Linked DNA regions of Drosophila melanogaster. Changing the gene in region 1 together with any one later gene gives a genetic interaction. Each region holds a gene or a part of one and is shown in the gene's direction. Other genes may lie near its edges.

Region 1 (4,831 bases):
AAAGAAAACTTAACTGCCACGAATTCAGTATACCCTTATTACGTATTGTAGAGTAGAATTCTAACAGAGGGATGAGATGGTTATATTTTCTAATAATCACATAACATGATTAACGTTTATTATACATAAATCTACAATTATTAAAGATCAAATCGGTTTATACACCAATGTTTTACCAATGATTACTGTTACCGTTATTTTGTCCTTATGTGCCCATCTCTTATAATGTATTAGTATATTTTACGCACTTTTGTAAGATGGGCCTGTTTACAATAAAAAAAGATGTAAAATTTAAAAGAATCTATAAACAAATTATTATGAGGCACTGTACCAATTATAATGGTCTGAAAATACTGCATGTATTCGCATTTACTCTTGTCAATATTAAAATCATGAGAATTCAGCTGTGTATATTCGTAAGGAATAAGGACCCAAAATCTGTGCCGACGTCCACAACCAATCCACCCAATCAGTTCCGACTTAACCGGGGTTCTTTGAAAGCCCTCTTAAGTCAACAAGCAACAATAGCAACAACGAGGTGAAACATTTTGCCCAAAAATAAAGTTAAATGCGAAGGCTAAGTCGCACAAACATTTCAAATACGTAATACATGTTTTAAAACTTTCTGCGAAGAGTTCAAAAAGCAGCGGCGAACTTATGTATGTAACAGCAGAAGTATATTAACAATTACACTTAAAAAAATTTCTTTTTCAACGATTGAATCAACGTAAGCTGGTTGAAATTCTGAAAATGCATTGCAGTTAATGGCAAATATTTTACATTATTAAAATGTAACCGTAACCTCAACCAAAACTTGCCAAATATATGTAAGTTACAACCGGCAAAACACTCAAAATGTCAAACATTTGTGGAATCATAGTGAATGCATACCACAAAAGCTGAATATTTATAGCTGTAACTGCAATAAAAGTATTTAACGTTAAATCTGCTCCCTAAGCCATTTGGAGATTTGTGTGCACTTTGTTTCAAGCTTGTGCGGAATTAAAGGAGAAGTGACAGCAAGGTTCTATGATGACAGTTCTTATTGGAAGCAGGCGACAACTTGGGCGTAGTGCTGGTAGCGTTTGAACTGGTTGAGAATTATAAATACACCTGTCAAACGAACCTATATTCTTTCAACATTTATAGCGTCAGCATACGAAAACACAATAAATAGCTCTCAGTAAGTTAGTTACAACTTTTCTGCATGATGTTTTCAGCATGAAGACGGCATATATAGACACCATGCATCTTTTCATTACACAACTAAAGAATCAGCAGAGTCAACCGAAGACCCGCTGGTGTGAGAGTTCGTTCCCCTGTGCGTCCTCAGACCACTGTTCGTCCTCTGCGAGTTGGAATTCCTGTCACGGACTCCGCTCGCAGCTTCCAGTTCGAGTCTGGAGTCCATCCTCATTCATGTGGCGTCTGGCGCACAGCTTATACTCCTCCTGACTGCTGCTACCGCTGCCTTATTCACGTTTTGCAGCCGGCCAACTGTCCGGTGGGCGGTGCGTGGGGAGGCGATTTCGGCTGGTGCGAGAGCGCGGATAGAACACCACGCCCTCTTCGTCTACTGGCTGTGCTCTAGAGCGGGAACGAGCTACTGACGCTATCAGCTGAGAGCGCCGCCATTTGCCACTACGTGAGAGCTGCGGAATGAGCGTGTGTGCAAGCAGGATGGCAGCTCATGCGCGACATCGCACTCACTCACACTGGCGCGCGCACATCACGCACGCAAACACACGGCGAACGGGGCGGTGGAGTTTTTTGGCTTCTGGCGCTGCGCTCGCACAGCGTCCAAACATTCCCAGTTTTTCAGCTGCGACGGCTGGTTGTCCTCACGATTTTGAGTAGATCAGCTGCAGACCAAAGTCGGTAGTCGAGTTTCGAATTTGAGTCGGTTTTTGTTTTTGGAAGCGGTGCGCGTATTCGATTTTTGTTTTGACTTGAGCTCGGCTGTAGTTTCGGTTTGCCAGAACTGGATCGAAGGAGAATCGACACAGAAACAGGGAGTTGGCGAAACGGATACAAAACTGAAGTTGGATCGGTAATCGCCTGCCCGGTCATAAACAACAACACAAGGGAGCACAGCCGCATACGCATACGCGCCTCTGTCTCTAATGCCTTATCAGTAACAGGCATCGTCGAGTGTCGTAGGAAGAGCCCGACAAAGGCCGACCTTTACCACTCAATTTGGATCTGATGTGCCATTCTCGCGCTGTCTCGTAAATTAATGTCATAAATTAACTTTAGATTTCTTACGCTAACCGGTGGTCGTCAGCGGTCCGAAAACGCCTTTGCGCTCGAGATACAGGGGCGGTTTCTAATCAATACAAATATCCTACCTGCCGCCGAGTCAAGTGTTTTAGTGAGTGTGTGACCCTATGTTCCTTATATTACCTTGGTGCTAAGGAGAAAGTTTAAAAAAAGCGGCATTCAAATCGTAGTTTGTGCAATAAGAAAAGGCAAGCCAATGGTGTCAATCTCTAAGACAACGCCGAAGTGATGCATGTCCGCAAAGTAATAGATCAAGTTGTGCGCACACTTATTACCGGCGAGCCTAGCCGGGCATCTAATCGTGGCCAGTGTCAAGTGTCCAATAGCACATCTAGCCGGGGTGTAGAGGATTACCCAAGACCAACGTAGCACCGCAGCCCTTTTAAGGAGGCATAAGGCTCGCAAGACACAACGCACAGCCTACACAACGACAAACATAACACGACCGACGGACATCATCCTTGGAAATAGACCTCGTGTCATTCCAAAAGACGCACATGGGCGTCTGCACCGAGGAGCGCCCTGTGATGCATTGGGTAAGTTCTGCCGCCGTAGCACATAAAATCCAAAGTTACCAGCGATAAGACTAAAAAATAAGTCATCCACCAGTCCGTCCCAGCTCACCCAAACTCTGCCCTTTGTGATTAATATTGATCCGAGCCTGGGTTACTCGGAGTTATCAATACCAGACTGAAAGCTTGCCTATCAACAGACAGCCCCACTCAATATCGATAAGAAAGCCGCTTGGGCATTTCAGATTAAAAACAGTTCCCAGAAGTGTTCAATCAGTGGCTAGTTCGCTCGTTGAAACATTGCTGTAGAACGCGGTTACAAAATTTCAATGTGATTCCCTGCCTTAATTTTTATTCATCTAACTTAGGTTAGAATCATTTAATGTTTAAGAAGGCAGATTTTTGATGATAGTCGTACTAATCAATATACAATCAAATTGGGCGGCATAGTCGTGCAAAAAAATTAATAGATATGTAGAAATCAAAATACAGGTAAAACAAATATGTACGTTTTTACGAAATTTTTGTATATATCTGATATTCGACGCGAACGTATTCAGTTTTAGAGAATAATCACCGTGTGCCAATATATACCAATTTGATATATTTTAATAGTAGTCAATTGACCTTCAAATACTAATTTTTAACGCGAATAAGGCATTTTCTACCACACAGAGATATTCTTGTACCATTTTTTTGAAAAGAACGAATTGCCTTGATGAGTTACATGAACATCTTTTACCTATTTTTGATTTTGTCATTTTTAATTGCTATTCCTATTTTGAAACATAACGCATTCCTTATACTTTATGCAAACAATTTTTTGTTACTTTACAACTTTGGTGTTTGAAATCTGTGTGTTTGTTTTAATTCCCATCTTTTGTATGTTTTCCAAATGTCATCGATTACTGTAAATCGAGATGTACGAGTATTCGAATTCTAGTCTATATATACCACATCTATATATTGTACAAGAATTGTATAAGATTGTATTGTATAAGAATAGGAAAATCGTAAATAAATTGGAAGAGTAAAATGGTATGAAACATTCGTTGAAAAGTATGTAACAGACAGATGGAAGGGTTACCGACCCTTATAAGGGATATCCTTGATTAAGGTCAATAGCCGAGTTGATCTGGCCATGTCCGCCTGTCCGTTCTTTTATTCGTCCAACCGTCCGTCCTTTTAAACGTTTTAGGAATTGTAAAAGCTGAAACCTAGTCTTGAACATTCATATTGTACTGCCGTTTTAAAGTATTTCCAAGTCCACTAAAACAAACTCCCATATCTCAAAATTCTTTCTTCCTAAAGTATTCGAAAATGTGTTGATGATGTGTTTACCTGATAAATTCGGCACATCGATCAAGTTACGAAATTGATTAAATTCGGACTATTAAAAATTTTATAAAAGTAATTTTAGAGTTTTTTTTTTCAAATTTTTATTTTTGTACATTTCTTTTTATATATAAAAGTCGAGTTCCCCAACTATCAGATACCCGTTACTCAGCTAGTGGGAATGAAAACGCAACATTTCATCATTTTGCTGGAATATCGTTAGATATCGGTGAATAAAATGAACAAAAATTTAAATTTAAACCGCCAAGAAATACGCTTTTGAAATATGTTTTGATATTTTTCATGTTTTATAAGTCTTTAAATTTTTACCGATTTGCCAAAAAACTCTTTGACATGCACAAACAGCCCAAAGCGGCCACGCCCATCTTGATGAAAATGTTTTGGTATATTTCCGTTTTATGTATGTATTGTAATACCAAGAAAATTTTTAACACACCCTTTCTAACTTATCATTCGTCTTAATTTTTTTTCCAATTTCTTTCGATATGCAAAAAAATTGAAATTTATTTTTCGCAGTCTGCCTAGCTGAGTAACCGATATCCAATAGCGAGAAATAGACAACGAATTCAAATACATTTTTTTGTAGCTGTCATTTGCCCGTAATCAAAATATCGGAAACATCAATAAGTCCTATTGTTAAGTTTGTTACAAAACTCAATTTTAATTCAATTCAATTTTTTCTA
Region 2 (4,796 bases), on another chromosome or scaffold:
CAATGAATAATGATGGTGGTTAAGTAGTGGAAAATAAAAGAAGAAACGCTCGACGTGCTTGGCCTGAGAAATTAATATTTGTAATTGGCTATAATTGTTTATGCCAACGGCACAAAGTATAGAAAACGAGACGCAGACAATGATATTAACGAGCTGAGGGGCCTCTCATCGCATTTTGCCGCCATTTCGAAATGTTTAATTGAAAAGAAAGCGGAATTGCCGGGCATCGTAATGAAGAGCTCAAGTTTTGGGAAGTTGGAAAAATTTTAATCAGTCAAGAGGGGCGTTGGAAAAGTGGTAAGAGGTATATCAAGTGTTAATTGAATGGCTGGGAAATGTGAGAAGTTCATAAACGAGTTTACTGTCTTGGTTTCTTTTAAGTGTAATTAAAAACGATTTCGGAAAGAGTTTGAAAAAAGTTCAGAAATTATATAAAAATATTTCTAAATTTCACCCAACCCATTTAGGCAAGAACTCAAATTAATTGGCTAGAATTTCCCCAATCATGCAGAGTCGTTTCATTTTCAGCATCGTTTGCAACTAATTAAGGCAACCACACAGCCATTCGTCAACTGTTCTAATTGAGCTCTTTATTTTCCACCCACTGGCAATTGTCATTAAAATCCTTTCACCAACTTGCCGCCCGAAAAGCCGAGCGAACCCGCACAATCCGACGCCCATTTCCCATTTTCACAACTTGGTCCTTCGAGCAGCGGAAAACAAAGGAGCAGCTGAACAATGGCTGGCAAAAGTTTTCAAGCCAACAATTTCACATAATAATCCTTAAAATGAGTTTAATTTGTAGAGCGAGAATTATAAAGGGTGCGGTATTCCCGCTCCCTCCCTCACTCCACCCGCCAACCTTGCAATTTATGGAGCTTATGGGGGTTGGCAAAATTCTATATAATCCTGCATATTTCACATTTATATGTATGTGATTGATTCGGCCGGGTTCCCGGGACGTTCGATTTATGTGGACCGATCCGATTTTTATGGCTTATCTCCTGAGGTGGAGCAAAAGGGAAGAAAAAACATAATTTCCTGACCGAGATTGCAGCTTTGCGATAATGCCGCTCCACCCGACATTTGATGCTTTTGGGGCCCTGATAATGATGGGCTTATTATTTATTATATTGTTCTTGTACGCTAAGGACATGTAGGAGTGCCAATTAAAATTGAAAAACCGCCTGGTCTATATATACATACATATATATGTACATATTAGGCGTACATAAAGCTTAAAAAATCACGCCAATTTGGCCAAATGAAGTCATAAACGATAAAGAGGGAGATAGAGGGAAAATGGAGATGGAAGGAAAAGCCAGAAAACCAAAGTGGAAATGGACAGGCGTTTGCCGCCGCTGCTTGTTATAAAATGCTAATACGCGCAGCAGCTCGAAAAAAAAGTGGAAAAACGCTTTGAAGATTGAATTATTCAATAATAATTAGGCGTGCGACAGGGACGGCTATACTGCGGGGCAGCTACACCATCTCTGTCTGTACGGCAAGAGTGCGGCAAACTCACCACACTGAAGCGAGAGCGAAAGAGAAAAGAAGGCGGAACAAAAGTCAGAAAAGTGGAGAAATACAAGACTCACACCGGAAAAAAAGAGCGAGCGAGCTAGTCTCGAAACCAATAAAAATGGTGTCGCACGCGGTGCACTCCACCACGGGAGTGAGAGAGAGGCACGCTCTACACAGCCGGTTTCCCACCACCAATCGTCGAGTGCGTCGGTGTGAGTGAGTATCTGTGTGGCAGGCAGCGGTGCATCCGAAACTGCGACCACAGTTTCAGTCGCAGAACAGACGTGATCTCAAGAGGACGTGTCTCTCTCTGGAAATAAATAGCCCCTGAAAAGATACAAAACGCCGCGTGTGACAGTGTGTGTCTGTGTTTCCCAAGCGTGTGACGAACGAGCGCATTAATTGAAAGATAATCAAAACAAATTAACAGCAGACCATGTCTCAATGAACCAATTAACCGGCGCACCTAAAGCACAGTATTAACGAGCCACAGTTACACAAACGATCGAAAGGCTTTATGTTAAAGCTCAGCCCAGCGAGCATGACAGTTACAGGTCTGCGCCAGACGATGACCAGTCCCACGGTGCCGCCGAGCAGTAACACTCCCGCGGGTAACCTCATCATCACCAGCAGCAGTAGCAACAGCGGCAGCAACAGCGGCAGCAACATGAGCAGCGGCAACATGACCAGCAGCAACCTGACCAACCTGAGTCCTAGCCACCCGGCTGGCCTGAATGCCCTGGCCAGTCCCACCTCGCCGTCGGCACTGCTGCTGGCCCATCAGCAGCATCTGCTGCAGCAGCACCAGCAACACCAGCAGCAGCAGCAACAGCAGCAGCAGGCGGCGGCGCTCCAGCTGGCCGCAGTGCATCCGCCGGCCCACCATCTGCACAAGACCACCTCCCGACTGAGCAACTTTAGTGTGGCCTCTCTCCTGGCGGACACGAGGCCCAGAACGCCACCCAACCAGGCGGCGGATGGACCCCAGAACCTGACCAGTTCGGCGGCCACCTCGCCCATCTCCCAGGCCAGCAGCACGCCGCCGCCTCCGCCGGCCAGTGCGGCCGCCCAAGTTCCCGCCAACACCTTCCATCCCGCCGCCGTCGCGCACCACGCCCACTTGCTGCAGGCCGCCCACGCGGCTGCGGCGGCACATGCCCAGCACCAGGCGATGGCCGCCCAGCTGCGCCAACAGCAGCAGCAGGCGGACGCCCGGGCCAACTCGCCACCCGCCTCCACGAGTTCCACGCCCAGCTCCACGCCACTGGGATCCGCACTGGGATCGCAGGGCAATGTGGCCTCCACTCCCGCCAAAAATGAACGCCATTCGCCGCTGGGCAGCCACACGGACTCCGAGCTGGAGTACGACGAGGAGATGCTGCAGGACCACGAGGCCGATCACGACGAGGAGGAGGACTCCATTGTGGATATCGAGGACATGAACGCCGACGACTCGCCGCGCTCCACGCCCGACGGCCTCGACGGCAGCGGCAAGTCGCTGGAATCGCCGCACGGTCCGCCGCCGGGCTCTCACATGCAATCCACGATACTTTCCCCGGCGGCCCTGGCCTCCGGTCATGTGCCCATCCGCCCGACCCCCTTCAGTGCACTGGCCGCCGCGGCGGTGGCCTGGACGGGAATGGGCGGTGGAGTTCCGTGGCCAGGAACCAGACAAATGCCGCCCTTCGGACCGCCTGGCATGTTTCCGGGAGCAGGATTCGGTGGAGGTAAGTGTCGTTATCCAGTTCTTTGTGGGGTTTTTGTCAGCTTGTTTTCGGTTTTTGTACTTCCTAGAGGGGAAATGATAAACCTTATCTGTTACATGTGCTTAACTGTCCTGTCCTAAGCGATATTTTAAACTCATTTGCAATGGAGGATTCAGCATGGGCATAATTAAATAATGGGAAAATAAAAATATATATAGGAGAGAATATAGAACTCAAAAGGTTTACTTCAAAAAAAATAAAAACAACCTCAACTCTCTTTCGAAAATATTTTCAATTTAGAGCCTTAACATCAAAGTAAATATGAGTGTATATATAGTTACATTTCATATATTTATTTATAATTAACTGTAAACCCATAAACATGAACTTCTGAACCCGTGAACAATAGAAATACGCGAATTCCGCTTGGGAGCAAATTCCCCATTAGCAGCCAGCGATGTGTATTCAAAAACGATTTATTTAATGGAGGAATTTCAAACCACCCACCCCACCCCTCATTGTTTTATGCCCCATGTGCGGTGGCAACTTTATCTACACCATTTTGTGTCGCATTTTAATTCAATTAACTGCCGCCCCTCGCCTTAATTGGCATCGATGGTGACTCTCCGCTCCTGGTCGGACGCGAGCTGCGGGTGCTCCATCATGGCCACCTCGTCGTCATCGTCATCATGGCTATGGAATGGAAGTGATCGTGACTGCAGTTTGTAGTCAAAGTGCGTGGCAATTATTGCGGGGCCTTAAATAAAACAATGAAAACTGCCTGATTGCGCTGGGCCCATTATTTGATGATGATGATGATGATGATGGCTGATGGCTGATGATAGTCGCGTCGGTTCTGATTTGACTCAATTGGCCACGTCTGATTATTCATTGCACTCGCTGGCCAGCGGCGTTTTTCGGTGTTTTCCGGTCTGACAGCCAGCCAGCCCCCCATTACCGTTCCCGAATTGGAAAATCTAATAATAAGCGCGTAAAAAGCGGACTGTCTAACCGACCAGCCAGACTAATTGAAGCGAGTCTGGCTGTTTAACTGGGCGATCTCTATCTGCATGCACAGTTCACACTTTGCCTGCATTTCCTGGACAAAAAGCACCGCGGGTCGTAGGGAAAAACTGGTGGAAAATCGGGGAAAACACTCGACAAGTCACACTTTGATGCCGGACTGACATGTGAACTTTACTCGGCCATCGCGAACTCTGCGTTTCCGCTCCTTAAAGTTGCTCAAACACATTCGAAAAACTCGGAAAGGGCGGTGCAAAAACGGTGGGCAAAAAAGTGTAAATTTGCTTTTTATATGCAGAACAGCAACTATTGTTCCTGTTTTTGCTGCATATGCTCGGGTTTTTCTTGCCACTACAAAGCATTGTTTTATAAAGCTGTCGGCTGTGTTTTGAAAAAAAGGGCTTCAAATGGGGTGTTGTATTAGGAAATTTGGGCTTTAAAGTAGGTTAGTTCGAGTATTACCATATTACCGCCTCATTCAAACTATTAATACATGAAATTCCAGAACTGCATCTCTAAAAGTGCTTTCATAAATTCCAAAAT
Region 3 (4,770 bases), on another chromosome or scaffold:
GCGCAGATTTGTTTACAGAAGACTCTCCGAGTGGCAAACTGAGGGAAGACGGATTATCGTGGAGGGAGGAGCACCATGATCATCGTAGATATAATTGACGACATGTTGTCTCACGATCGTGCTAAAGCGATTAAAGCTAATTTAATGCCCGACTCGGAGATTCACTGCACCCAAAATGTATCCACCAAGAAGTGCACTCCCTCACTTTGAGGTCATGCTCGATTTTCTCTGTGGAAAGCCTTAACAAAATGCCATAATCAAATTTCTAGCTTCACTTTTGTTATTTCTTGTGGCTGAATTTGTTGTGGGATCGAATGGGCTCATTGTCGGAATTCCATTGCAATTCTATTGCATGTGTGCATGTCGCCTATTTACTTAAATGCACTTGTTTCACTTGCTCACTTGTAATTACATCCAGGCTTTTAAGTCAGTCTCTGTTGGGCCAAAAATCAAGTGTTGAATCAACATGAATTGTTTAGCACACGATTCAATTGTTTCGTCTCGACGGAGACGTATAAATAAATAAATACGAGACGGCCATGAAATATATATTTATTAGAATAAAAAATGTTAACCGCTATCGGTTTATGACAACTGTTTGTTTAATTGTAAAATATATATTCAGGAGAGGTTTAAAAGATATTTTACAAGTTGCCTACCTTAAAGCTTAACTCTTTTACTAGAATTTCATTTGGATGAAGTTTCAACACACTTTAAAATTTATGTGCTCAGTAATTTGCCAGAGCTGCCCCAATCAACATCAATTGGCTGCCATACTGTCTGAGCATTCTAATTCATTTAATCGAGCTCATTAGTGGCTCTAAACCATCATGTTTATGCTACCCAATTACCATCGGAAGTGATTCACTTCTGCATGGACGGAGAGATAGCCCTGTGATTTTGATTAGATGCCAATTTGTTTATGGCACTCACTAATCCGTCCACAGATCGGATATCCCATATACCATATACCATTTGCCATATTCCATATACCATGTCCCGTATCGGTTTGATTATGCCCAGCACACTTCGGCTCGTCTTACATGAGCATTTCGATTTTTGGGAGCTCCTTCTCTAATGCGTTACGGATCCATCGAACCCAATAAGTTTTAGGCGTTTTAAATTACCCGATATTCGCGTTGCGCGTTTTACGATTGCCATTAAATTTGCTGGCGGTTACCATTGAACAGGCCGAGAAACTCCAACTGATTAGCTTATTAATTTGTTTTATGTGCTCGAATGGTGGCGGAGTTGTTTCGAATTAATTTATTAATTTATGCGCATAGGAAAACCAACTTTTCAGTTGGCGTTCGCCCAGCGGCAAAATCTCATTCACAATGGGCATTGTTCGCCCGCATCCGAGAGATACTTACCAAAAAAAAAAACTAACATAATACAGAGAAAGAAACAACAAACTTTGAGGAAAAGTGGTTTTCGACCCACCCCTGTGCGATATTCTTGGCCCTTCGATTTGGGGAATGGGAATGGGCGGAGTCTAGGCGCATTCTCTGGCCGGCGGAGGGAGCGAGAGAGGCTGCTCCGAGTGCGCACCGCTCACACGAACTCGTTTCGAGTGCCGAGATACATTTAGCCGGTACGAATACGAATCCAAATAATCCGAGCCAGGGATTTCCACTCAAGCAGCGCCGCTGCCGCTTCGCTGCCGGCGTCGCATTGAGCCACAAAAGTCGGCTGTTTCGGTGGTTCAGTCGATTCGAGCCACTCAAAGCGAGCGCTACGGGAACGGTCGATCCGCCCGAAGTCGCAGATAAAAAACCTACCAGATACATTTCGTTCGTTCTGAAACGCTATAACTAAATATATATTCGATTTCAAAACATCGACCATACATTAACTACCTGAAACGGTCGAGTTCACTACCCCGCCACGCGTGTGTGTTTTTGTGTGTGTTGCAAGTGAAAGTAATCGCAAGTCCACAGAATGGTCACCCTAATGCCATACAACTACGCTGCCCCGCGATGCGGATTAATTGACAAAATGATCGAGCCAAAGGTAATCACATAGTCGTAGTGCTCTCCTCGCGAAGCTTTAAAAGTGATGTGGTTGAGATGGCTGTGCCGTCGGTTATTACTATTACTAGTATTGCTAGTGTTATGACTATGATGACGGCGGTAGCTTCCTTGGTGGTTGCGCCTTGTGGGGCTTCACCTAGTCGGGGAGTAGTATCCAAAAAGTGAAACTCCATGGCGAGATAACGCTTCGACTCTCATTTATCAAGCCTGGATGGAGTCTAATATATGTACGAACAACAGTTTAGGATGCTTTAAGCTGATCTATTGGTCGGTGTGATATCATAGCACACTTCATATATAAATCTAGTCCAGCTTGACAACTAAGTCGTGTTCAGATGCTATTCGATTTCATAAATCTAAGCGAATAAGTCGTGCAAATACACTCGAAGAAATACAATTTCATTGGGTTGCTTGAAAATGTATGGAATGTTACTCATTCACAGAGGATTATCAATTTTATAGACCCATCCTGCGAAGAAAAGCGCTTTAATGACTGCTCATTGTTGGGAAATCGTTAATGGGGATAAAGATTATGGGCACCTGACCAAAATTTTATTACAACGCATTAATCGGCTTAACTTTTGGCTGTGGGGTAATGAAGCAAACAAGTTGAGTCCCAAAAGGTCATTAAAAACGCTTAATAAAGTGCCGAAATAGTGACAAACGTTTTTCCAATTCGCTGCTGATGCATTTCTCCCATCAAATTACCAAAGCCTTTTCATTCACTGCACGCTTGCGATGCAAAGTCTGGCCGAGATTAGCGTAAAGTTCGTTTCCCGACGATTTAATGGAACGGCATTCTCCAGGCTTTTATGGGTCCCTAAACTACGGCTAAGACAAAGTCGGATCGAAGGAAACGTGACGAACGTGGAGTGGCCGGATGGCCGGATGGTTAAGGCGAAATATTAATAGAGCATAAATTACAGCTCTAGTGGGTCTCTGGGTGCCGGCTTTATGGGAATTTAAAGAGCCTGGCCCACAAAAGCCAGAGCTGGGCTACGGCATTCGTCCAGCGGCATTAATCACATTTTAATTAAGTTTAAGCCGTAATCGTAAAAATTAACACGCCATAATTCAACTGCGACAATACGCGCTGCATGTAATTTATGACAAAGAGAATTCACATCGGTGTGCGTGTGTGCGAGTGTGTGGGGGGGGGGGGGGCGGTGGAGGAGTCGAAATATTGATTATGGCCACTGCGATTGACACTTGGCGATTGTTGATTATACTACCACGATCGTGGCCCAAAACGTAATTAACGTGCCAAAGTGTTAAGGTGCATGGGATAGGTCCCATGCCATAGCAGCCCCTTCCTTCGATTCCACTTCGTCCACCAGAAGATACAAATTTTCCTCTTGTTTATTTTGATTTTTATCGCGGGGACTCGAGGGGGACTCAAGGGGGCTCAAGGGGTTTGTAGGGGTCTTCGGGGTCTTAGGGCCGGGTTAATAAAAAATTTGTCGCCGTCTTCTTGTCTTGTCTTTTGTTTGCCTGCCTTTTTGTGACCGAGTGTGTGTGTTTTAATCTTCTTCTAAAGCAGCAGAAGAGACAAAGAGATTACGATCACAGGAATTTCGTTAAAGATGCCCACAAACAGGTCTTTATACCACATATCTCCCACTCTTTTCCGCAGCTGGAACCAACCAAGCCGGCCCAACCAAAACCCCCCCAGATACTGATTCGAGTGTTGTCTGTGTTAATGTTTACGTTGTCAGCTTGTGCCATAAATTAGTTTAGTAAAAGGTTGCATTTGACTCTTCCCTTTCCCCCCCCCCTTTTTTTTGTTGGCCCCTCACCAGCTCACTTTTGCATACAACTTCGGACTCGAATTCGGTTGCTCGTGCAGCACGCAATCCTGCAGAATTCGCGACCCGAGATCGCAACTCCAATGCGCAGCTCATCGAAACGCTACCGTTCGGCAATCTGTCCGCTTGTCCGCCGCTGCGCATGCGCGTGTTCCCTTGGTCCGTCGACAAATCTGAGCAAACTGCGTCCTGCTGCCCCCCACCAGATCACCGGATGATGGACAGTGCGTGCGTGTGGTCATCTCGCCGGACGGCAGAAGCTGTCAACCGAAGCCGCTCAGCTTTCGCTCCCTTCCCGCCCTTCTTTTTTTGTTTTTTTTTTTTTTTGTTTTGAGGGACTTCTTTAGGGGTGGAGAGGCGCACAAATTCCAGCACCTGGGCTTGCCGCGCCCCTTAGTCCGCCTTCGATTTATCTGGCTTCCGTTCGATTTGCATACATGTCTTCTTAAGGGGCGTTTTTTTTTGACCATTTGTCAAAATCATTCTGGCAAAAGCTGAATTGTCAAAGCTTTATAAATATAAAACATAGTAAGTGGATGTAAAGGACGTTCTATTGTATGCCTAGAGACACAATCTTTCCTCGAAAGTCTGTATAGTTAAATGTCATCTTTGTTCCATCTAGCCATTTTGCATCCTTATCGAAATCCGCTGCCACCTGCTGCTTTTCCGAGCACTACCACCTCCCCCCCCCCCTTTCCGACTTCCCCTCCAAATGGCGCCGCACATCCGAGTAACAGTTGAGTTAAACTTTTTCCCACGCACAAGCTCGGGCAGCGAAAATCGCTTGGCGCAGCAGCAAATGGCGATTGCGAATTATGTAAAATTTGCTGTTTTCTTTCGCCACTCGCACTGGATAACCCAAATAGAGTTTCAGGCGGTGGAAGTGCCGAGCTCAGCAGGGCGATTCCACGCCAGACGCTGAGGTGTGAGTG
Region 4 (7,279 bases), on another chromosome or scaffold:
ACACAAACTAAGGCGATCCCGGTGGCAGGATGGAAGAGCCGCTGATTGACATCGCTGAGATGCGGTAGAATTACGCCCAGAATAGAGCTCTGGTAGCTGTGGCTTATATCCGGTATGTGAGCAGCTCTCTCCAGGAGCGCAGACAACGCCTTAAGGGAAGCTTTCAGTATCTCCTCATTGTCATTTCCTGGAAAAGTCTCTGTTTTCAGAGCCTGCCATATCTGATCGAAGTGCGGCTCCAGAACGGAAGGCGGGAACTTCACGGCAGCTTGGTGCTGTAACAATAAATAGCATGTATAAAAAGAGGCATTTCAAAATGTTACGTTTTCTTGCCAGCAGTTCTATGGAGTCCAGTTTGGCAACCAGCAACTCACTCTCCAGCTTTTCTATGGCCAGTACCACTGTGCCCTCAGCGAATTCGTTGTTGGCTACCAGGCAGTTAGTCAACTTCTTGGACAATTCATCACGGGTTATGGCCGCTGGATCCTGCTTGCTGGGATTAAAGTCGATTGGAAAGTAACACGCAAAGATCTCAAACATCTCTTCGGCCAAATGCAGCAGCGGATACGTTGACAAGAACTCGGGCATGAAGCTGAAAATGATGTCAAGGTTGCGGGGGTCACGCTCGCCGTCAATGGAATTGATCAGGCCGTAGACGAAGTCACCGGCCATCGCTTGCAGCTCTGTATCGGGAAGAAAATTGATTTGTTTGAGTTGTAATATTGTGTAATATTTTCTAAAAATAACGGAAATAAAAGGTACTAAGATTGTCGCAAATATCTGTTCGACTAGTTAAAATCATCTAATTATAACTTTTTTGCACACTGACTTGTTTAAATCGGATTAAAGCAATGTCAATGTATCTTTCATGCTAAAATGAAATCAGGGCTCACCGTCCTGGAAGTTTTCCGTCAAGTACTGGAAAATGTGGAACAGCTTGGTGCGGTCGCTCCGCGTCTGCGACTGGCAGGTGGTGTGCTCGAAGAATGACTGCAGAATCTGGGGAATCTGGGCGCGCGGTAGAGCTTTCATGTGAACCAGGGCGTCGATTCCATCGATAATGGCTGGCATTACGTTGTGATGGTCGCGCAGGCGGTCCATGTAAAAGGTGCTGAGGAACTCCAGCTGCCGCTCTTGCAGCAGATCCTGGGGCAGTGCTATCAACACGGCGGAGAGCAAGTTGGTTCCGGCCACACGCTCCTCCATGTCCGGAGAGGACAGGGCGAAGCCCAGTGCCTCGGCCAGAGCAGATATGTCATATGCCTTGGCGGTCAGATCTGGAGGAAACAAAGAATCTCTATGAGAAGGGCACATTCGACACGGATGCGGGTGTAAACCTGCCCTTGGCTATCTGTGTGGCGGAATTCACAAGCTTCTGGTCGCTTTTCAGAGCCTTTTCCAGGGTGGCGCGCGTGGGCGTTGTCATTGCGGCACCGTCGCTTGAGTGGTGTCTAAATTTAAATGAGTTTAAGCACGTTAAGCCGAAATGTTAAGAACCGATAACCGATGACTTGTCGTACTGGCCTTATCTATATCACAGCGATGCCAGACTGGTGTTACAGTAGTGCAAATGTTTTAGCGATTAATATAGCTTTTATTGCAGTGGCGCTCAGGGATGGTAATGTGTGGCTCGGAGACAAATTCTAGAACTGGAAAATATACTTACATATTGTATATTGATTTATAATCGATAGACACGATACGGAGATTTTCTTTTTATTTTCTTGTAATTCGTTGTAAATTTAGAAATATATTTTTAGCAGCTCTGGAAACAATCGATAGTCGCCGACTGTTGCACACAGGGAACGCAACAGGGTGGTCAAGTGTCCGCGCCGATGTATCGATAAGCCCCGCATCACCAGAGCACGCACATCACTAGTATTACAAACACAGGCAGGCAGCAGTTTATTTTAGCTACCGCAGCACCTTAAACTCTGAATTAAATAGTTTACGCATTCATTTTGCGCTCGGAACGCCGCGTAACAAAGCTAGTACACTAATGTCCATAACCGTAAGTCGCCCGCGAACTGCTCAGCTGCAATTGTAGGTGTGCGGCGGCGAGACGTCAGCGCTGCTGTTGTTGTTGCTCTTGTGGTTGCTGCAGCTGCAGACGCCCCCACATAGCTGGAAATAAAATAAGAAGCATAAGAATAAGAAATACGGTGAAGTGTCGAATGCAAAGTGCAGTTTGCTGTGTCCAGAGGCTTGCAATTAACTCAAATTCTATTTAGATCGCATTAATTCGACCCATTGTGCGCCCGTGTGCGTGTGTGCGAAAGTGTGTGTTGTGTGCCGCTGAAACCTGAGCTGAGTGTGCGTGTGTGTGTGCGAGCGTTAATTTTGTTGTTTTTACTATTGTGTTTTTTGTTTTTTTTTTTTTTTTTGCATACGACGATTTGAGTCGAGTTGAAAGAATCATTCAAAGCCAACAAGGTCGAACGCCTTATTCGGCTCATAACTACCTAATACATTTTCCAATCGGCATTTGGCCCACGTCCCGCCTTGGAGGCGGAATTGAAAATCGGAGCGCGTTGCGTTTAAATTTGGTGACAAGTCGGCGGCTGTGCGCCTGATAATTTATAATTAGCAGCTCACTTGGGTCGTTGCCACTGGCATCTTCTATTATTCGCAATTGTCGCCGGGTTTTCCACTTTATTCGCTTCTGGCTGGGAGGCGCACTTTCCATTTTTACCTGCAAGGCGAGCCAGCGAATGACGAAGTCGCTTCCGTTCTATTGTTCCCCTTCCCACCCAGCAACACTTGGAGAAACTCACGCACTCGAGCGCTTTAATTGGAACTAATCTCTGTCTCTCGTTTTTGGCTACAATGACGACAACCTGTTCCGATCGCCAGTTACTGCGAGGTGGCAAGCAAAAGACAACCACTTGCGTAGGAATGACCGTAATGGCCAAGACTACGTTTGAAGAAATATGCGAGAATGCCAAATTAGCACGGGACATGGCTCTGACGGGCAACTACGACTCAGCCTGCATCTACTATGAGGGCCTCCAGGGGCTGCTCGCCCGCCAGCTGAAGGCCACCGCGGATCCGCTACGCAAGGGCAAGTGGAGCATGGTAAGACATTCCTATCACCACCTCCAGATACTGTCAACTACCATGCCAATGAATGCGAATGGTGACGGTTATGACAAACAAAGGACTTAGTCATAACATCTTGTCAACGCCATTCAAAATTGCCCAAGAGGTTTTGTGTAAACGAGTTATCTAGATCGTTAACGTGCATATAAAGATTTAATTTAATCAGAACACTACCGAATGACTAAAATTTGAATTACAAAGTAATTTCTAGCACTACTGGCACAAAGTAACTGGCTAAAACTCCAATAGATCATAATAAACCAAGTATTTTCAAAAAGTTTAATATTTACCATACCGGACGATTTCATTGACATCATTTAACTAACTGATCTTCGATTTGCAGATCAACCAGCAGATTAGCCAGGAGCACGCCAAAATCAAGGCCATTCAGAGAACCCTACAAGACATCTCGCTGGACCTACAGTCAACCAAATTTGCACACAAGCTGCGACACCAGCTCAGCGAAGAAAGCACCACCAGTAAAGATCCATCTGCCTGGTTCAAGCCGGACCCCGACATTTGGACGCCTCCGCCCAAGGATCCAGATGTGTGGGGTCCGCCGAAGCCACCACCCACCACTCAGGCCGTTGGCCGAAGAGCCGCACCGAACAACCGCCGCACCACTCCGGCAACGCAAAACAGCCGCCCCAGCAGCACAATCCCGCAGAGCACTGCCCGGAATGGTCCGGCCTCGACACGCAATTCCCGCAACTCAACGTCCGCCACAGCACCGAGCGGCGGAGCACGCACCACCAATGGAAGGGCTGGCGGTCGCAAGCTATCCACATCGAACACCAACGAGGCTAGGGACGACGACTCCACCGCTGCAGGCAACAATGGCGGAGCGGCTGGCGATGGAGAAAACGGCGATCCGCAGGCCGCCCAAGAGGAAGAGCGCAAGTTTCAGCCCAACAACCACATCGAAGCCGAGCTAGTCGACATTCTTGGTAGGTGCCTAAATCGTTGCCGCAAGGTTTGCCTCGTTCAAAATTTGGTGATGTGCTAGTCTTATTTATTAAGCAAAGCTAATGCATTACTCTACTTGCTTTAAGATTTGTGGCTATTTCAAAAATGGTAGTAGTTATGAAAATTTGGGTCTAGTATAGCTACATTTATTACATGCCAACGCTCTCTTTTCAGAACGTGATATTCTTCAAAAGGATCCCAAAGTGCGCTGGAGCGACATTGCCGACCTGCACGACGCCAAGCGGTTGCTGGAGGAGGCCGTCGTGCTGCCAATGCTCATGCCGGACTACTTCAAGGTGCGTCACCCCCGCTGTTTGTTTTCTGTGAATCACATTCTGCCAAACGCTTATCTCGCGATGGGTCAACAAACGCGCTTTATTATAGTGCTCAGGGCAATGTGTATTTGATCAACTATTCTGAACTGTCACGAAATGCATCGCCTTGCAGCTTTATCCCTCTTAACTAGGTGGTGGAACTTGTCAACACATTCTACTTTTACTTGGGGCGGTTTAAAAGTTTCCATTGTTGAAATTATGCTGATTATGATGTACCTCTATCTATGTTATCTTATCAAACTATGTGTGCGTTCAAAAGAATATCGATCCATAATAACCTGTCGAAAAAAAATAAATAATTATGTATATATTATGTATATATATGGAATGCTGACCATGTGTTTCTAACGCCTTTAAGTCACATTAAAAATCACTGATCCAAACACCTGAGACTGAGCTCGATTGCTATGTTGACCGTGTTGTACCATATATGTAAGAATATTTGTTGTTTTCAAATATTTCCGTCCAACAAATATTTTCCCCATCTAAAATGTGGATACCATGAAATTTTGCGTGGGCGAAAGATGTTTGAAATGGGCATCAGAGAAGCCTACAGCACCATTTTTCGATTTACCATCTTACTGAATAAACAATAGCAAGAAAGATAGACTTAACGTGGATAGTAGATAATTAGATATTTATGTTTGATTGGAAGAAATGGTACTCACTTCTCCAATGTAGATTATTTAATTAATTAGAATTAGGCAAATGACACAGCCTAAAACAGTGGTTCAGATCAAAACAATCGGAAAGTATACAATTAATATATACTGAAAGTTTGTAAACATTTTAAAGCAAAAGTACATAATCACTTCTTGCTTTCTACAACAGGGTATCCGGCGACCGTGGAAGGGCGTGTTAATGGTGGGACCTCCAGGCACGGGCAAGACAATGCTCGCCAAGGCGGTGGCAACCGAATGCGGAACTACGTTCTTCAACGTGAGCTCGGCCACGCTGACGTCCAAGTACCGAGGTGAGTCGGAAAAGATGGTGCGGCTCCTGTTCGAGATGGCCAGGTTCTACGCGCCCAGCACAATTTTCATCGACGAGATCGACTCCCTGTGCTCGCGCCGAGGATCGGAATCAGAGCACGAGGCCTCGCGACGAGTGAAGTCTGAGCTGCTGGTCCAAATGGACGGCGTGGGCGGCGGAGAGGAACAGGCCAAGGTGGTCATGGTGCTGGCCGCCACCAACTTTCCTTGGGACATCGATGAAGCGCTTCGGCGTCGTTTGGAAAAACGCATTTACATCCCACTGCCATCGGATGAAGGTCGCGAGGCGCTGCTCAAGATCAATCTCCGCGAGGTCAAGGTGGACGATAGCGTCGATCTTACCTACGTAGCCAACGAGCTGAAGGGATATTCCGGAGCTGACATCACAAACGTGTGCAGGTGAGTTCAGAATACACTAATTTAAAATGGCGTAGTCAGTTCCAAATCATGTCAATGGAATAAAATGCGTGCTCTTCTTTTTCCAGGGAGGCCAGCATGATGTCGATGCGGAGAAAGATCGCAGGACTGACCCCAGAGCAGATTCGGCAGTTGGCTACGGAAGAGGTGGATTTGCCCGTTTCCAACAAGGATTTCAACGAGGCCATGAGTCGCTGCAACAAGAGCGTGTCCCGGGCAGACCTGGACAAGTACGAGAAGTGGATGAGGGAGTTCGGATCGTCATGATGGCGCTGCAGACGCGAATGGCTAGCGATTGTAGGAGTATATTTTTGAATAGCCTTAAACACGCGCTTAAGTCATTAAGCTTTTAAAGTGAGAACCGAACCGATCCGAGCCGAACGGAAGAGTTGAACATATTTTATATATAACATTTTGCAAATACGATACAATCTATATATTTACATATATACATTGAACCGGAGGCCGTTGGAATTAGAAAAGACTAACCGCTCTCAAAGAGGAAACACAAATGGAAAACTGAAATTGAAATTGAATTGCAATGAAGTCGAGAGATAGGCAATACGTTTATGTATACATAGCGAAAACCACCCACACACTCCATGAGCACAAACCTTCCAACAAATCGTTAACCCACAATCACACTATATGCAATAAGGAATCGCTTTAATCGCCGCCTAGCCTTGGCCTCATACTCCCACAATATGCACACTCCAATCCGTATCATTTTTTATCGAAAGTTTTTATTTTAACAAGAAATGTCCACTGTCTAATATTAATGTTAATTTTCGCTTAATTTATACTTTCACATATACATATATATCATAGTTTAGTGCAGGCAGAGATGTGTGTACCAGAAAGTTCCCTCTGATTTGCAATTAACCCACTGTAATCAGAAGATGAAACTGAAGCAATATGTACTTAAAGAGAGGATTCTGAAATTTTAAACAATAAAGAAGTTTTTAACTTTACGGCATTAAGAGTTGTGACTTTTTTGGGTGCTTTCTGCAAGGATAAATAAGGATAAAGGTCTTGCAAATGATGCTGATGATGTTATGATTTGATTATTATTACAATTAAATCACTGTTACGAAAATGCTGTGATCCCCAAAGAGAATTTATATCTAGATACTAAGCGGATGTTGCATTTGTATGACACAGCGGTAATTAATCTTTTCTAGAAATCAAGAGTCAGGGAAAAGCACTTTATTATGAAATCCAAGAACGTTTATCTGATGAAAGCACCCTTCGTTCACCGCTTACCAAATGTACAAACTTGCCTGCTGCAGACTGATGCGCCATGGCAGTTAATTCGCTGAGGACCAAGGACCAAGGACCAAGACCTCAGTACGGTCTGGATGGCGGTGGCATGGGCATCAGGGGACCCATGATTGGGTAAGGGGCGGAGCCCCCAGACGCGGGATAGAATCCGCTGGAGGGCACGTTTCCGTAGGCTGGCAGAGAAGTATT

The links.
Region 2: of ap (region 1) and Dr, changing one suppresses a phenotype caused by changing the other (phenotypic suppression), as found in Drosophila melanogaster (one study listed by BioGRID).
Region 3: of ap (region 1) and eya, changing one enhances a phenotype caused by changing the other (phenotypic enhancement), as found in Drosophila melanogaster (one study listed by BioGRID).
Region 4: of ap (region 1) and Kat60, changing one suppresses a phenotype caused by changing the other (phenotypic suppression), as found in Drosophila melanogaster (one study listed by BioGRID).

The regions. Positions count from the first base shown.
Region 1 is NT_033778.4:5,723,806-5,728,636, reverse strand, and holds the start of ap (apterous), read left to right. Parts: upstream 1-1,804; 5' UTR 1,805-2,777; coding exon 2,778-2,816; intron 2,817-4,831. UniProt on the Drosophila melanogaster protein: Required for the normal development of the wing and halter imaginal disks.
Region 2 is NT_033777.3:29,554,595-29,559,390, forward strand, and holds the start of Dr (drop), read left to right. Parts: upstream 1-1,791; 5' UTR 1,792-2,041; coding exon 2,042-3,251; intron 3,252-4,796. UniProt on the Drosophila melanogaster protein: Plays a key role in the specification of proneural and promuscular cluster formation. Required for the specification of dorsal and lateral muscle progenitor cells. Regulates development of peripheral nervous system derived from lateral neuroblasts.
Region 3 is NT_033779.5:6,533,072-6,537,841, reverse strand, and holds the start of eya (eyes absent), read left to right. Parts: upstream 1-1,730; 5' UTR 1,731-1,941; coding exon 1,942-2,013; intron 2,014-4,770. UniProt on the Drosophila melanogaster protein: Tyrosine phosphatase thought to play a role in transcription regulation during organogenesis through its intrinsic protein phosphatase activity. The phosphatase activity was shown in vitro. Appears to function together with So and Dac in eye development.
Region 4 is NT_033777.3:5,226,789-5,234,067, reverse strand, and holds Kat60 (katanin 60), read left to right. Parts: upstream 1-1,858; 5' UTR 1,859-1,999; coding exon 2,000-2,011; intron 2,012-2,754; coding exon 2,755-3,075; intron 3,076-3,442; coding exon 3,443-4,046; intron 4,047-4,239; coding exon 4,240-4,361; intron 4,362-5,231; coding exon 5,232-5,791; intron 5,792-5,877; coding exon 5,878-6,076; 3' UTR 6,077-6,779; downstream 6,780-7,279. Other genes in the region: Mms19, read right to left, coding at 1-275, 334-683, 894-1,277, 1,342-1,426; Vps37B (vacuolar protein sorting 37B), read right to left, coding at 7,154-7,279.